Danio rerio: one gene and its partners. The main gene of each other region encodes a partner of the protein of the gene in region 3 in a complex. Links are inferred from orthologs where the notes say so. Each region holds a gene or a part of one and is shown on either strand. Other genes may lie near its edges.

What was found.
Region 1: kat7b (region 3) and jade3 share a complex: the UniProt entries of both Homo sapiens proteins name them as parts of the HBO1 complex. The link is inferred for Danio rerio from reciprocal best matches to the Homo sapiens genes KAT7 and JADE3.
Region 2: kat7b (region 3) and jade2 share a complex: the UniProt entries of both Homo sapiens proteins name them as parts of the HBO1 complex. The link is inferred for Danio rerio from reciprocal best matches to the Homo sapiens genes KAT7 and JADE2.

The regions. Positions count from the first base shown.
Region 1 is NC_133181.1:40,067,722-40,073,581, reverse strand, and holds the start of jade3 (protein Jade-3), read left to right. Parts: upstream 1-2,437; 5' UTR 2,438-2,576; intron 2,577-5,860. UniProt on the Homo sapiens protein: Scaffold subunit of some HBO1 complexes, which have a histone H4 acetyltransferase activity.
Region 2 is NC_133196.1:49,539,601-49,545,493, forward strand, and holds the start of jade2 (E3 ubiquitin-protein ligase Jade-2), read left to right. Parts: upstream 1-2,470; 5' UTR 2,471-3,131; intron 3,132-4,763; coding exon 4,764-4,827; intron 4,828-5,168; coding exon 5,169-5,254; intron 5,255-5,867; coding exon 5,868-5,893. UniProt on the Homo sapiens protein: Scaffold subunit of some HBO1 complexes, which have a histone H4 acetyltransferase activity. Acts as an E3 ubiquitin-protein ligase mediating the ubiquitination and subsequent proteasomal degradation of target protein histone demethylase KDM1A.
Region 3 is NC_133187.1:6,540,039-6,545,455, forward strand, and holds part of kat7b (histone acetyltransferase KAT7), read right to left. Parts: intron 3,625-5,417; coding exon 3,541-3,624; intron 3,252-3,540; coding exon 3,153-3,251; intron 1,029-3,152; coding exon 918-1,028; intron 1-917. UniProt on the Homo sapiens protein: Catalytic subunit of histone acetyltransferase HBO1 complexes, which specifically mediate acetylation of histone H3 at 'Lys-14' (H3K14ac), thereby regulating various processes, such as gene transcription, protein ubiquitination, immune regulation, stem cell pluripotent and self-renewal maintenance and embryonic development.

The sequences.
Region 1 (5,860 bases), on a different chromosome or scaffold from region 3:
TTTTTCCTCCAGAAAAAAAACAGAAAATTGTTCTAGGGTGGATCTGACAATTTGACATTTTCATGTTGATTATATTGACATATTGTCAGCGAGTTTATTTGGATCCAATCAAGAAGGCAAGTGCCTTTAGATAGAGTACTAGAACTAAAGTCTAATCAAACATTGCTGTGGACAATTTCATCGCTTATGCTGAAAATAATGAATTTGATTATATAGATATTTATTGAATTTCCTTTTTTTTCATAAATGTATAGCTGGAAATTGTTTTACTCTGTCTTGGCTGTATACAGTACGTCTCCTTTACTTAGTGTATAGTCATCATGCCTGTGTATATTTGTTAGATGTAAAAACAATATTGTTCAGATTTTGTCACATGCCTAAAAACATGAATTGTATTGAATTAGATTTTTTTATATGACCGATATAAATGTATTTTATTTTACAGTTAGCATAGCTTTTTATTTGTATGTTTTTTTCAGTATTGTCTTGTTTTTCAAATGACATCTGTTTTTATTGTATAAGTTTTTACAGTAGCACTGTTCTGAAAAGAATGTAAATGCTGAAACTGATAGGTCGAATGTACTACTAAACAGGAGCATTAATCGTCTCCTTTACATTGTTCTATTTTTCTAGGATCATTTTAAAGAGCACAACAACTTTTCTGTGACCAGAATCATTTGTACACTTCAAAAGAAAAAATAGTGATTTTTTTTTTTTTCTTCTAAATGTTCCTATTTGTACAAGACAGTTTTTTAGGGATGAATAATAACTGTGATTTGTCAATACAATCATACTGATCGAAAGTTGTCTCATCTTTTTTCCACATGCAAATAAGCACAACACTAAATGTGAATGTATTACGACAAATGCCAACTAGTGAATAGTTTTGTTAGTTGAGTACATATTTGCTCAGAGAAAGAGATTGTGAGTAACTGTAAGTGGTGTTGTGAAATGTTGTGGTTCTGAATTTTGACCGCATTGCTTTTATAATAATTTCTTTAATAATAATCTCTTTCTGTCAGTAAAAAGTATTCAAATATCATGTTTAAAAAAAACAAAAAGAGTTAGAGTAGTTGTCTGATTTGTTGAGCACAAAAAAGTTGTATTTTCTTCAGGGGTCCAATATAAACATCAGGGGACAGGTTGAAATTAATAGTTTAATTCTGGTAGGACAGATTTTTACCTTGCTGGTTATAAAAGAATCTTAAAAATGCACAATATTAATCATTAAATCAGTTTTCTACCGTGCTAAAAACAAGAAGTGTTATGTTATATAAAGCTATGTGTATAATACATTTATTTTAGTAAATTCCATGGAATGTTTGCTTTGGTATATATTGCAAAATGAGTCAAAATGAGATGCATTAAATGCGTTTCAAACCAATTTTGTGATTTATGTGATATAAAAAATATAGGTGAAATAATGTATTTAAATGTATTCAAATTATTTTTATTCTAAATATGACTGACAAGTTTGTTTGGTAGAAAAATATTTTCTTTTCTTTAAGTAGGTTTCTTTGGTGAATGACAGTTCACCAATGTAGCGTTGTATTATACACTATATATATATATATATATATATATATATATATATATATATATATATATATATATATATTTTACCCATATACTCATGACAGCTTTTATTTGGCCTACCATCTCATCTGAAAAGAGAATGATGAGGAGCATTGAAGAGAATATTTTTTACAGAGATTGTCATTTTAAATTTAAAGTAATCTTTTTGTCTGTTTTATAGCAATTTAAAATTAAGCATTTAAATTAAATGTTGACAAGGAATCAGGTTTATAATAATGTAAATACTGTCTCTTGTTGAATAGAGGACAATGCACATTGTGGGCAAATTGATGCAAAAGCTTGACTTGTGTTGTTATTTGCCATTGAACTCCATTGTGTAATCAATGGAATTGTTTTTACTGTAATACGTTCATTATATTTATATATATTATCTTTTAAATTATACTGCATTAGTTAATATAAAGCAATGTTTTCTATTTATATATATATATATATATATATATATATATATATATATATATATATATATATATATATATATATATATATTAGGAATATAAATTAGGAAAATACCCATGTTGACCTTAACTGTTTGCTATATTTATCTTCTGCCCACAGCCCTCAATCAAGTATAGTTTTGGGCCCTTTATGAGAAAAAGTGCTGTATTATATCGTAATAAATACTAATTTAGCTAAAATACTGTGACTTTAATCTAAATTCTAACGTTACCTCCATCACAGCACTGTAAGGGGACATTTAACTACCCCTGAAAAGAAATCTGCTTCCCCTGGCTGGGCAAGCAGTGGGGCCGTGAACGGGGCGGGCTCTAGGACCCAGCGTTTGGGTAGTACAATAGAGCTGTTGTGTCGTGGTGAAGAGGGTGATTTCTGCTTTTGGGATATTGACAGTGGGACAGAAACCAGAAAAATACGGAAAACACCGGTATTTACTGCACCTCAGCGCTGCTGACTTGAAGACAGCCTTGCGGAGTCTATCGGCGCTCACGATCGTCCTGAAGCACAGCATTTTTGGATGTTAGGTAAGGGTGCATCTCGAACAATACTGCTCGTGTCTTCACACAGGGCTCAGTGTGCCAGTTCTCCAGGCTGAGGGGCCTGCTGCCTCCTACCATTCCTCCGAGAAGCGTTTTACGTCCTCATTATTCAACTAGGACAGTGTTGGTATCAGCGATATAATTATGTTTAGGTTAAACATTGCGAACGCGCACTGAACGCGGTTATATACGCACAGTCAGTGGTAATATGTCAGCACAGAGGGGATTGTAGTGACTGGAGAGGGTTCGTCATGTAGGGCGGCTCGAGTTTGGCGCCAAGGCCGTCAGGAACCCTCGCGTGTTCAGCAATGGAGGCCAGCAGCGGTTCATGCTCACACATGGGCACAGTGCTGCTGTTTGTGAGACAGCTAAGCGCTTCTGTTTACCATCCGGTTCTTTATTTAACGTTAACTGTGTGAACTTCTAGAGTTGATCTGTGCATTCAGCACGAGTAACGTTATAAACCTGAACCTTAGTTTAAGAAAATTAAAAGTGGACATATTTCTCCTCGTTGCATCATGCTTTGGGTTTACAAACAGGCGACGTGATGTTTAAATTGTTTTCTTTTGCATGGTGTTTATTAAAGGTGCATAGTTTTGCTTATTCGCTAAAATGCGTCGCTTTTCGTTCTGCATATGGATCTTGTAATGAAGCAACTTTGTTTTTAAAGCATTGCATAATGTTTTTGTCTTTAATGTTCGGTAAAGTAGCGAAATGTGTGATTTAACTGATAAAAATGAGTATGATAATGGAGTGTACTTTGTAAAATGTAATTATAGATGACAAAACATGCATTAACCCTGACGGTGGTAGGCGCACGGTGCATTAGAAAGTTTGGAACGGAAGTGTAGTTGTTGGAATTCGGGAATGCCCTCCTTGAGCTTCCGTTCCCCCCACTGCTTCCCGCGAAATCCCTGACCGCAGGCTTAAACGTGTGTGCTACTCGTCGAGCGTTTTTTCAGCATTATAAATGGACATTAACTAGGTAACATTTTTATTAATAAACATGCAAATGTAAATAATGCTTTGAAAATACAAAGAAGGTGTCGGAGGCGCGTTTGATTCAGTGAGTCGAGTCGTTTGATTCATTTGAAAAAAGAATTGTTCAGTGACTCTAGGTGCCATCATGAACAAGCTCCTTAAACTCGCATATTTAGAATAATTCTGTTAAGTTTTTAGTAATTTATATTTGATTGTAGAAATAAAAGAACACACATATAAATGAATTTTACTCTCCTTCACTCCAAGAATAAATGTTATTGCCGTCTGTAGTTCCTCAAGAACCCCATACATCTGTCAAACCTTTTTATTGCACACAGTTATGTATTAATTTTTTCTTCATTGTAGCTTTAGTGTAGATTAAAGTTTAATATAGGCAAAAGAAACTCGTCACCTTGCAGCTAATGATGATTTGTGTGTGATGAATGAATTACCAGTGCTGTTTTAACACCTTCACACACAGTGTGTTCTTCATGAGGTTGTATCTGATTATAAAATACCATCACATGTACACGCCAACAGTGAGCAAGTGCATTGAAGCATCCTTCTCAATGTTCAGTAAATTCCTTCACAAAATATTTTTGTTGTTTCTTTTGGTTTAGTCTTGAAATTAATTCTAAAATTGTCGTTATTTTTACACATGCACTATCTTTTTGCTCTCATTCAGTCAGTCAGCTGGTCACCAATAGTTTTATTGTTATTTTCAATTTTTCTTAAGTCTTTCTGGTTTATTTAGTTTATGCACAATATTTTGTCATTTATTAATGCTTTCATTTTCATTCATACAAAGTTTACTCCAGCTACACTTCTCTTTTAAATAACAATACAAGCCATTTTGAAAGCTGGAGGAAGAACACTGCATGTTGACCTCACAATGTATTTAAATGCACAAATTCAACATTTAGCACATCCAAAACATTACATTTTGCAGTCTACTCCACTTTACTGTGATGCTGCAGTTCATCTAAATCAGGGATGTCCAAACTCGGTCCTAGAGGGCCGATGTCCTGCATAGCTTAGCTCCAACTTGCTTCAACACACCTTCCTGGAAGTTTCTAGTATAGTTAGAAAGAGCTTGATTAGCTGGTTCAGGTATGTTTATTCGGGGTTGGAATTTAAATATGTAAGACAGCGGCCCTCCAGGACTAAATTTGGACACCCTTGATCTAAATGATCGCACCATGACATGTCAGTCTTCTATTGGTCACACCTCTTCATACGATATAGACCATTTTGAGGGATGTAAACTCAAACAATGGTCCCAATGTATTTCCTGTTTCACATTTTAATTTTCCATAGCTTCTGAGAATCTAAAAAGAGCCACACATTGATAAATAATGTTATGGTAGCTGTTTACCATTGATATATGATTGTATTGCCTCTTATTACAGTTATAAAATAGTTTGATAGCAAGTAGGAAATGTTCATGGGCCAATAACATGACCACATTGAAATGGTCTGTAAGTTTGTAGGGAGTTCACCAAACTTAAACTTTGTAACATAGCAAGTTAAATAACTCCCACACTTGAATACATATAAATAAGTCAGAGAAACTATCTCTTAAGCACATCGAAAACTACATAATTGTTTAAAAATATTTCCTCACTAGCAAACACCACAACTAATCACCAGTGAATCTAAAAGAGCCGTTCACAATCACATACATTTGAAAGATATCAAGAACGTTTAAAGCACCCTTTGTGAAAAGAAAAGCTTTCTTTAAATTAATATCTTCTTCATGTAATCATAAATGGAAACAAAGAACAATTATTATTGAGAGTGTAGGAGTTGAGTTTAGATTCATAGGTCGTTTTTAGAGTGAATTTCTTGCAGAGTCAGTAAATGGGACAGTTTCCTGGCACACTAGGTCAGTGTGAGGTGGCTGTGGGGGTGAAGTAGATTTAGCTGGGCTGATCTGTTAGTGTTGGGGGTGTGGGGTGGTCTTGTCTGGGCCAAGCATTGTGCTTTATCTTGGTGCAATAGGAGTGGGGGTTGCTTTTTAAACTGTGAATTATCTTTTTTTTTTGTCCTGCCATTTTGTGCCAGAACACCTAGATAAGATAGTCGGCCATTTGAATAAATGTTGAATAATGTCATTGTTATTATTATTTTTTTCCGACTTAGTCCCTTTTGTCATCTTGGGTCGCCACAGCGGAATGAACCGGCAACTTATCCAGCACACATTTTACGCAGCGGATGGCCTTCCAGCCGCAACCCATCACTGGGAAACACTCATACACTCCCATTCTCACACTTACACTACGGACAAT
Region 2 (5,893 bases), on a different chromosome or scaffold from region 3:
ACTGTGTGTGTGTGTGTGTGTGTGTGTGGTGTGTGTGTGTACAGCCTCAGACATTTATTTAAGTACATTGTTATCTGTGTTGTGTTAGATTTATTGGACAAACAAAAAGTTTGTTTTTAGTTAGTTTTAAGTTGGACCTAACTGTTGAATCAGGTCTTCTTTGAGTGTTTGCTCAAGTTTTAGACCAGTCTGATGTTTATGAAAATATGCTTATGGATTATTCTTAGTTTTACTTCAGCATAAAGGTCACTGCAGTCGGTTTAAAATCTAAAAATGGGGCGACTTTAGGGATATCTGGTGGGTGATGAGGGAAATAAAATAACATTTTTATGAAAGTATCAGTGACACTATTGACTGTAGTACTCATTAGATCTGTGTGTGTGTGTGTGTGTGTGTGTGTGCGCGTGTGTGTGTGTTTGGTTGACACATTGAGGATGTTATAGGCTCAAACCTTCATTAAGTTATGTTTTATCTGCATTTTTTATTTTTGTTTGACATATTGTTCAAAAATGTCCTCAGGCAAGCTTGAGAATTAAAATTTCTCAGATATTTGAACTAGAAACAAGAGAAAACTCTGAGTAACTCTATAAGAAAATGTTTTTTGTAATGTAGAAACATTCACCATTAAACTTAAGATATGTAGGGAAACCCACAGGGCTCACTTCAAATAAGAGATAGCAAACAGAAAGACCATCAGTTCATCAATCAACACATACCCTGCAAAAACCCATATAGACTGGCAACTCTTTATTTCGCTTTTGGGATTCTAACAGTATTGATTAATCAGAAATAAATAAATGTGTATAAATGCAATAGTTAATGTCAGAATTATTCGCCCCCTAAGATTTTTTTCTTCCTTAAATATTTTTCAAATGATGTTGAACAGATTCAGGAAATGTTCACAGTATGTCTGATAATATTTGTTCTTTTGGAGAAAGTCTGATTTATTTTATTCCAGCGAGAATAAAAGCAGTTTTTAATTTTTTTTTTACATTTTAAGGACAAAATTATTAGCCTCTTTAAGATTTTTTTTGAACCATCGTTCTACAATGACTTGCCTAATTACCCTAACCTGCCCAGTTACCCTATAGCGAAGCCTTTACATGTCACTTTAAGCTGAACACTAGTGTCTAGAAGAATATCTAGTCTAATATTATTTACTGTCATCATGACAGAGAGAAAATAAATCAGCTATAAGAGATGAGTTATTAACATCATTATGATTAGAAATGTGTTGGAGAAATCTGCTCTCCATTTATCAGAAATTGGGGGAAAAAATAAACAAGCGGTCTAATAATTCTGACTTCAACTGTGTATATAAATAAAACTTACTTAAATACAAAATGTGTAAAATGTCCACAAACCCAGAAAAAATTAAGCTGTAAAAATGGCCTTAAACTGGTGTATTTGAAGCATACTACAGTGAAGAGCTCGCATTTCTCAGTCATCAGTCTATAAAAACACAACTATGATCACATGAACAAATGACCCAATACTGTAGTTATCAGCAACTATAATAAACACCACAGGTTACTAGTCAATACTACAGTATGCTGGAGCATTCAATAGCAAAGTTGTAAATAATATAATATACACACTTTACTACAGTATGGTTCATAAACATCAGCGTTTACTATAACGTACTATAGTATTGTATTGACGTATACCTATAGTGTGCTAAATGTTGAAAGTTTACAAACCCAGGAAAACATATTAATCTGTAAAAGCAGAAGTCTAAAACATCCCAAATATCAAAAATAGCACACTACAGTAAAGCACTTGAGTTGATCTGCTGTAGTGGTTAACACAACTATAGTAAACACTGTAGTTTACTACAACTATAGGGTGGAGAATAGAAGGGATACAGCTGCAGATACACACATCAATATAGAATCTTCTCTGTGACACTGTACAATATTTCATAATTTTACATGACTGTGAGGATTGGGGTAGACTTTAAAAGTTACATTAACTGGGCAGTTTAATAATTTAATTCTCCTGATCTTTCAGCGATATCTGAATCTCATCTAGCAACAACCCAACTATAAACTACAATACACCAGTTTACTGCAGTAATCAGGTAACTAATACAGTATGCTGGAACATTCATTTAACAAAGGGTTGTAAATAATATTTAAACCATCCCTAATGTAAAAATAGACCAGTGTTTCATAGTTTAAAAACTATATTTTTGAACAGCTAAAGTGTTTGAACTAAACACTGTGATGATTCCTATCTAGTTGCTATGATAACTATAGTATTATAAACAAATGACCTAATACAGTAGTTTTCTCAGCAGCTGTAGTGTGGGTAAGGTGTAGTAAAACTATACAGTATACAGTAGTCTATCAGTTCACTATGCTACAGTATGCAGGAGCGTTCATTAACAGAGCTGTAATACTATAATATACACACTTTACTACAGTATGGTTCTAAAACACTGTAGATGGCCATATCTGGAGACGCTGATGGTGTGTGTGTGTGTGTGTGTGTGAGAGATCCGGAACAGCGCTGACAGTGAGGATGTTTGTTGTGTTTCCTCCTCTCGGCTGTTTGTTCATGGCTCCCCCCATCGGATTCACAGTAAAATGGTCGATTATTTTCGCGAACCGCCCCGCGCGCTCGCTTGAGGAGACTTTCTTCTTCACGCTCGCGTCTTGATGGACATTTTCAAACTTGACAGGTAAACGCAACGCGCTTTTTCGCCCGTTTCCCCCCGCTCGCCGTGCGTGACGCTCGCTCGCAACGCTCGGCTCCTGCGCCCGCTGCTAACGGAAATTTTTTGGTACGTCATTAATATGGCGCCAAAAGAGTTGTAAGTGTGAGCTGGTGTTTCGCGCAGGAATACACGCAGAATGTGAAGAGGAGCGCGCTTGTGTGTCGACAGCTTCACTTCGCAGGATGTGAGGACACCAGAAACAGTTTTGCGGATGACGAAGCGTGCTGTGCTGTTTTCTGAAGCGGCAGTTTTAGGACGGCTGTAATATGCCGTCGGCTCGGGCATCTCAGCCGCACACAGTAACTTTTATCGGGGCCGAGGAGGGTGCGTGGCCTCGGATGATCCTCTGATCTCTGCGAGGACACCATCATCATCTTCATCATCACCATCACACCCTCTCTCCGCAGAAGAGGTAAAGCCGAAAAAATGTGCCTTTTCTGCAGTTTTTGACCGTTGTTTCATGCTCATGTCGGTCGTTTGCTGCCTGAATTCTGTCTGCTTGTACGGGCTCGTTCGCGGTTTATTTGTTTGCTGAACTCTTCAGTCTGTGTGGAGTACTGCTGCTGCTGCTGCTCAACTTCTCAGCTTGGAGTGAGCGAGTGGCCTAAACGCGCTTCACAAACAAGCCCTGCAGGTCAGCGACCACGCCCCCTTCAGCTGCACACGGCGGCTTGACGTCACACACACGGGGCGTGGTCTAGAAAACGTGTAGTATTTTTTACATTATTATTATTATTATTATTATTATTTTTATTATTATTATTTTGTCTTTAAATGTTTGTGAGCCACACTGAAAACAAAACTAACCATAATTATTTTGTTAGCTCACATTGCTAGTCTTTGGGTGAACAATTCATCTGCATGTCATTAAGAAAAACATGTAATCTAAAATTGAAATATGCAAATGCACTACCTGTTTGTTTTCAGTTAAATTCTAAGATTAGGTCTGTTTGAGGTATCGGGCGGGGCTTGCATACTTAACCACGCCCCCAGCGGTCAGTTTTGGCAACGGAAATGGTGAGGAGGAGGAGTCTGTTAGGTTGTAATAACTCTCCCCAAATCCTTTACTACAGCCAATCAGGTCGCAGTATAAAAATCAAGCCACGCCCACTATTTTCTCATTTAATATTCAGTTTGTCTAGGAATTGCTTCACAATGCGAAAAATGATTGCAGCTTCTGGTTTATGAGAACTTTAAAAGTCCTGTGAATTGTTTTGAAATGTGCATTTTTTATTCAATGAAAGTAAATGAGAAGAGTCTTCAGGAATGTGCACAGGTGGGGCTCTGTGTGCTTGAGCACCTGATCTTTTTTCTCAAGGAGGAAAAAATGCCCCTCAAAATGAATGAATGAGTGTGTTTGTGTGTGTGCGTGAGTGTGTGTGTGTGTGAGTCTGTGAGTGTGTGTCTGTCCGTCATCATAATGCTTCACTATTATTCTACTATTATTATTCCCTCCAGAACTGTCTTGAGCATCTGTCTGCTGCAGGTTTGCTTTAAATGAGCAGCCAGCAACAGCAAAGCAGACACATTTCAAAATAAGAGTGCTTGTGTATTTTAGACTATTATTTTACACATATAAATCTAGTGGCGATGCAGTGGCGCAGTAGGTAATGCTGTTGCCTCACAACAAGAAGGATGTGGGTTCGAGCCCCGACTGGGTCAGTTGGTGTTTCTGTGTGGAGTTTGCATGTTCTCCATGTGTTATCATGGGTTTCCTCTGGGTGCTTCGGTTTCCCCCACAGTCCAAACACATGCAGCAGACAGTGTGTCTGGGTGTTTCACAGAGATGGGTTGCAGCTGTAAGTGAATCCGCTGTGTAAAACATGTGCTGGATAAGTTGGCGGTTCATTCCGCTGTGGCGACCCCTGATGAATAAAGGGACTAATCTGAAAAGAAAATGAATGAATGAATATAAATCTAGTGCACACATCAATCTGTCAAAATTGGGTGAACTATTTCCTGCTGTCACACTGTTTCCAGTAAAGCTATCAACACACACACACACACACACACGTTCATGAGTGTGATCCTCTTGTCCTGACAGATGGAGAGTGAGATGAAGAGGAGGAAATACTCCACCAGCAGCAACGACTCTGACACCACTGACAGTGAGTAATGCTGACACACACACACACACACACACACACACACACACACACACACAGACACACACGCTCAAACATAAGCACAAAAAAACACAAGCACCTACACGCACACACACAGATACACACAGACAAGCACACACACACACACACACACACACACACACATACACAAACACACACACGCACTGATCACACAAGAGACACAAGAGACACACGGACAAGCAGACACAGATACACACTGACAAACACACACACACACACACGCACACATTGATCACACACAAGGACAAGCACACGCACACACACTCCTCTAAAGCGAGAATGGTACCTGTGTGTTTCTGCAGGTCAGGTGACCACCTGGTCCCGCTCCTCTAAGAACACTGGCACCAGCAGCACGTGGGTCCGTCATGAGCAGAAGAGGCCGTCTGAGGTGAGAACCGGCCAATCAGATCGCCAGAAAGACAGCAGCAGTTCTTAAATTAATGGACATGAAGCGTTTAACGCTCATCAGCATCTTCAGTTCCTGAAAGTGTTTAATATTTAGAGTATAAAACACATATGAAGCGGTGGCGCAGTAGGCAGTGCTGTTGCCTCACAGCAAAAAGGTCTCTGGTTTGAGCCTCGGATGGGTCAGTTGGTGTTTCTGTGTGGAGTTTGCATGTTCTCCCCGTGTTGGCGTGGATTTCCTCCGGGTGCTCCGGTTTCCCAAACACATGCGCTATAGGGGAATTGGGTGAGCTAAATTGTCTATAGTGTAGGTGTGTGAATGAGTGTGTGTGGATGTTTTCCAGAGATGGGTTGCAGCTGGAAGGGCATCCACTGTGCAAAACATATGCTGGATAAGTTGGCAGTTCATTCCGCTGTGGAATGAGGGAGAGCATGCAAACTCCACACAGAAACGCCAACTGACCCAGCCGAGGCTCAAACCAGCGACCTTCTTGCTGTGAGGCGACAGCACTACCTACTGCGCCACCGTATCGCCTACTTCAGAAATCATTCAGTGGAAACAAGATAGATGTGCTTGAGTTGTGTTCTTCTTTCAGGTGTTTCGGACAGACTTTATCACAGC
Region 3 (5,417 bases):
TAAAAATCTTTTTTTTCCCACCCCACACGAGAAAAAAAAAAAAAAAATCGTGATACGAACCGAATCGTGGGTTTGGTGTATCGTTACAGCCCTATCAAAAACCATAAAAAAATAAATAAAAAAACAATCCAGCATGCTTCATAATAACTTCAGAAATATAATAACATTAATTATATACACAGAAATAAAATTAAACATGCTTTTTTTAAGGTAATAAAGCCTTATAGCTTCAGGAAAAAGGGTAAATTTATATCTATTAGATGAACAACTGATGATTCTGAACCTTCTTCCAATAAAACTCTCCTATAAAACTATGAATGTTCCTAAGCATTTAGGAGTTACTTACTTCTGCTGGACGCAAAAGCTATTTAAATTAGTATGTAGGAAACAGGTAACCATTGACATCTACAGTATAGTATGAAAACAATTCATATAAATGTTAATAGCAAATGGTTACCGACATTCTTCAAATTGTCTTTGTGTTAAACAGAAGGAAGAAACTCAAACAGCTTTGAATAAGTGCACAGTGAGCGAGCGGAATAGTTATTGCTGCTGAATCAAAAAGTGTTATAATCTACACATTACATAGCTACATTGTATAACATAATTTATTCAGGTCAGTTTTGAATCTGAATTATTATTTTTTTTGCTTTGTGGTTAATAAAAATATCCGTAAACGGAGCAACAACATCATAAACATTCAACAATTTTCATTTCATTTTTCTCATTAATGAGAGGTTGCAGACCAGACAGAATATGATTTTAGTGAAATGCATTATGCAAAAATAAATTATAAGGGTTAATTAAATGGTTTATTTTTGTATTTCGTTTACAATTTGACAGGAAGTCAAGTTTTCTGATCAGCTGGTCTGCATTGTCAGAAAATTGTGTGAAGCGTGAGGTATTTCGGTTCATACCAGATCCTCTGATGCACGAGCCTGAGCTTTTCTGAAGAGCTCCAGATCATAATCACTGGTGATGTTCTCCAGCAATGGTTCGCGAGTGGTTCCATGCGTTTGTCTGTGCTCCTGATACAAATTAAAGATGTGAATGAATAACAAACATAAGCATCAACAACAATACAGTTTAAAAGACATAGTTCACCCAAAACTGTACATTTCATCATCATTCACTTGTCACAAACCTGTGTGAATTTCTTTCTTCTGTTGAACACAACATATATTTAGAAAAAAAAAAAAAAAACAGTAACCATTAACTTCCATAGTAGCAAAAACAAATACTATGGAAGACAATGGTTACAGGTTTTCAGCGTTATTCAAAGTATTTTCTTTTGTGTCATTAAGGTTAGAAAACACTCTAGGAAACAGTAGCTGCTTTTCTATCGACTAGTGGTGTAGTATATATCACAAATCTCATGGTTCGGATCACATTATCTTTTTTTTAGCCATGGATTGGACCATTTTTCGGATCATTCAAAACGGAGAAGACACAAATGTAATTTCCTTTCCATTTTTTCATTTTTTTTAACAAAAACAGTACTGCAAGACACTTTTGGTTTTAAAAAACAAAAAGTAGAACCAGTAAGTATGCTAAAAATATAACGCAGAAATAATCAGCTGAATTAAAATAAATTGTAAAATATTACTGTACTGTGAAAAATTCAGTGTTTCCACCACATGCTGATAACACAATGTATAAATCTAACATTATAGCTTGTACAACTCATACTTATTTTTAATCTCATTTTCGATAAATGATTCAGTTATTCACCTATAAAACTTTTTCATGCATCACTTTTGAAGAATTATCCAGTGGCTTATTTTGATGGCTGGTTGTCGCCACCTATTGTTCAAATAATGTGATTGCTGCCTACAACTTTAATTTTTGAGCGTCAAGTTAAATGCATATGATGGCGATTTTAATCTTTACCATAATCATCAGTGGTTTTATCTAAACTATAACTGTTCTCCCAATATTTCTGTTATTTGACTGGTCATAACTAACTCAAAAGACTAAGGACTGAATCTCTTTCTTGATTTTAGAATTTTTCAAACACATTTGAATGCAGCGAGTCAAAGGATTAATAAACATGCAAATCACCATCATTTATAATTTATGTTAATGATTAATCAATGCTGAATGCATTAATGCAGGCTAAACAAGCAGTGACAGAAGACACTTTTAATAACCTAAAAAACCCACCACACACAAATAACCTCCCACAACTTCTTCTGTCATCATTATATTTTACAGGAAACATAAATCCTTTCATACACGCGATTTGAATGATGCGAGATGTGATCTCTCCGCGATTGTTACATATTTAGAATTTAATCTACAGTGTTCCATGGGTTGTGATCCGTACGAATCAGCTATGATTTCTTACACCCCTACCATCCACTTATGTTTATGCACATTTTTGATTATCGCATAAAAACCCTGGATGGAAACAACAAGATGCGCATAAATTTTGAAAATGAGAAACAAACTTTTTATCCCATAAGAAAAAAACTTGCATAAACTACGATGGAAATTATGAAGGGCATTTACCGAATTAATTCCAGCATCAAAAAAAGTCACGTAATTTTGCCTCAACAGATCATGTGATAACAAAAATGAGTTGCAGATATAAAAAGGGGGGGTGCGCAAATTTTCCAAGCAGTGCGAGCGGAGAAGATTCTAAAAGAATGTGACAAATCGTGGACTATTTTGCGTAATAAACGAAAGAGCCTTAAGCAAAACTACATGGCTGTTAACTTGTTTTTACTATTTGGCGCCAGTTTATCAGGAAGTGACTATTTTGTCTTAGATGGAAACGGTGATGTAATCACAATTGTTTTATTCGATAGTCCAGTTTTGCACATTTAATTCACATCTTTGGATGAAAACATGGCTAATAATAACATTTCTGGGTGAACCATCTCTTTAATAATAATGGCATTAATATATTACCAATATTTGCTCTTGCACTCATGACAGTTCTGAGACATTCAATGCAAAAGTATGAGCTGTTGTTGTTAAAATGTAGTGAAATTCATTTATATATATATATTTTTTTTTTAAATATTATTGTTCATGCTGTGAAGTTTTCATGATGTGTAATGTATGAAATAATCACACTTACATGTATACACAGATGCACTCTGAAATATATTTCAGTAATCACAAAAAAAAAAAAAACACACAATTACCATGTACTTTTCCTTTTGGTCTTTACTCAGCCCAGAATCTCTCCTCTTCCTCATCTCAATGACTTTCTCTTTATATCGGACCTGTCTTGGAGTTGGTGCCTGTGGAAAACCAGGTCAAATGACTACTACATCACACTTTTTACTGCTTCATGCAGATAAAACTCTTTCAAGGTCAGCTCATCAGCCACACATGCACTGTAGTCACCGCAGGATTTATAGCTAGCAAACAATCACAACCCATCCTAAAAATAAAAAGCACCCAGCTGATGGCGTTAGGCGTTCAAGCAAACATCTCGCTTTAGTACAAAAGCATGCATGCACTTAAGAGACATTAACACACTTGTGCGATGTTTGTTTAGTGTTAAGAGAACATCTGTTTGGCGAGTACCTGATGTCGAGTAGCGTGCCTGTTCTCCTCGTTCTGCCCCTGACTGCGCTCTTCATCTTGTTTCTCACGCTCGATAGCCTTCACCTGATCGAGACCACACGAAGCACACAAAGATAAACAATAGGGAAGAGTTTAACAATTCAGAATAGGACAAAGTAACGCTTTTTGAAATTTAGGGGGCAACCAAAATGGTGTTTTAAATATTTTCAAACTCATATAAAAGGGTGCCAAAAGTACAATTTTAGGTGAGCCACTGCAGGCAAAGACACTTTTTTTTAAAAAACACCCGTAAATGACTGAGATTATGTATTTTTGAACCTAGTGTGCAGATTTTTATGTGTCTTTTATCACACTTGTATCTGCAATTACAATAAATATTTTTGTAAAATTATATTGTTTCACAAATTGATTTTTTTTCTCACAAAAATGAGTCAAATCTTCACTTATACTTTACAGTATTATTCATATATATATATATATATATATATATATATATATATATATATATATATATATATATATATATATATATATATATATATATATATATATATATATATATATATGACATATATATATATGTTTCCTGAAAGGTTTTACAGAGGGGTACTTTTATACATAATATGCTTGATTATATAAAACTGCTTTAAATATAAATAAAAGAAATTCGAAGAACAAACATTCTTTGGGTGTTTGAAGTATTTTATGAAATATGAAATGATAATATATACCCAAAATCGCTAAAATACTTTTGACTTCAATGCCAAAAAAGAAACAATTTTGCCTGAGTTTCTTTCCAGTATTATTTATATATTTGTTTTCTGAAAGATTTTTTAGAACTATGTTCATACATTATTAACTTGATTATATAAAATTTTTTTCAACAAAGAATTTTTACAATTTAAAAAAAAAAAATCCTGAATTATAAAATTATTAAAATTTATACCCAAAATCCCCAAAAAACTTTTGACTCTCATTCCAAAAAAATTATTATACCCCACTCTACAGTATTATTTATATATTTATTTATATATATATATATATATATATATATATATATATATATATATATATATATATATATATTTATTTATTTATATATATATATATATATATATATATATATATATATATATATATATATATATATATATATATATATATATATATATATATATATATATATATATACACACATACATGTTTTCTGAAAGATTTTACAAAGGTGTATAATCCTCCGTAATTCACTTGATTAAAACATTATTCAACAAAGAAACTTGAAAAACTTAAAATAAACTATTTGAGTGTTTGAAGTATTTTCTAAATTATAAAATGATCAAAAAATATACCAAAAGTTCTCTTAAAACTTTGACTCTAATGCCAATAAAAAGAAACAATAATTTTGACCCTGACTCTACAGTATTATTCAAATATTTTATTTTTGAAAGGTATGTTCATACATAAATTGCTGGTTTCTACAAAAAGGGTTTTTCGACAAATAAATTTGAAGATAAATGTTTTTTTTTTGGGTGTTTGAAGTATTTTATGAAATATGAAATGATAAAATATATACTCAAAATCCCCAATGCCAAAATAAACTATGATTTTGCCCCTGACTCTAATTACAATATTATTCATATATATGTTTTCTGCAATGTTTTATAGAGGGGTATGCTCATACATTATTAACTTGATTATATAAAACTTTTTTACAACAAAGAAATCAGAAAAATAAAACAAACACTTTGAGTGGTTCAAGTATTTTCTGAATTATGAAATGATAAAAATAAATACCCCCTAAAATAAATCCCCTAAAAACCTTTGACTCTAATGCCAAAAAAATATAATAAAATATTTTTTCCCAACTTTATTCGATG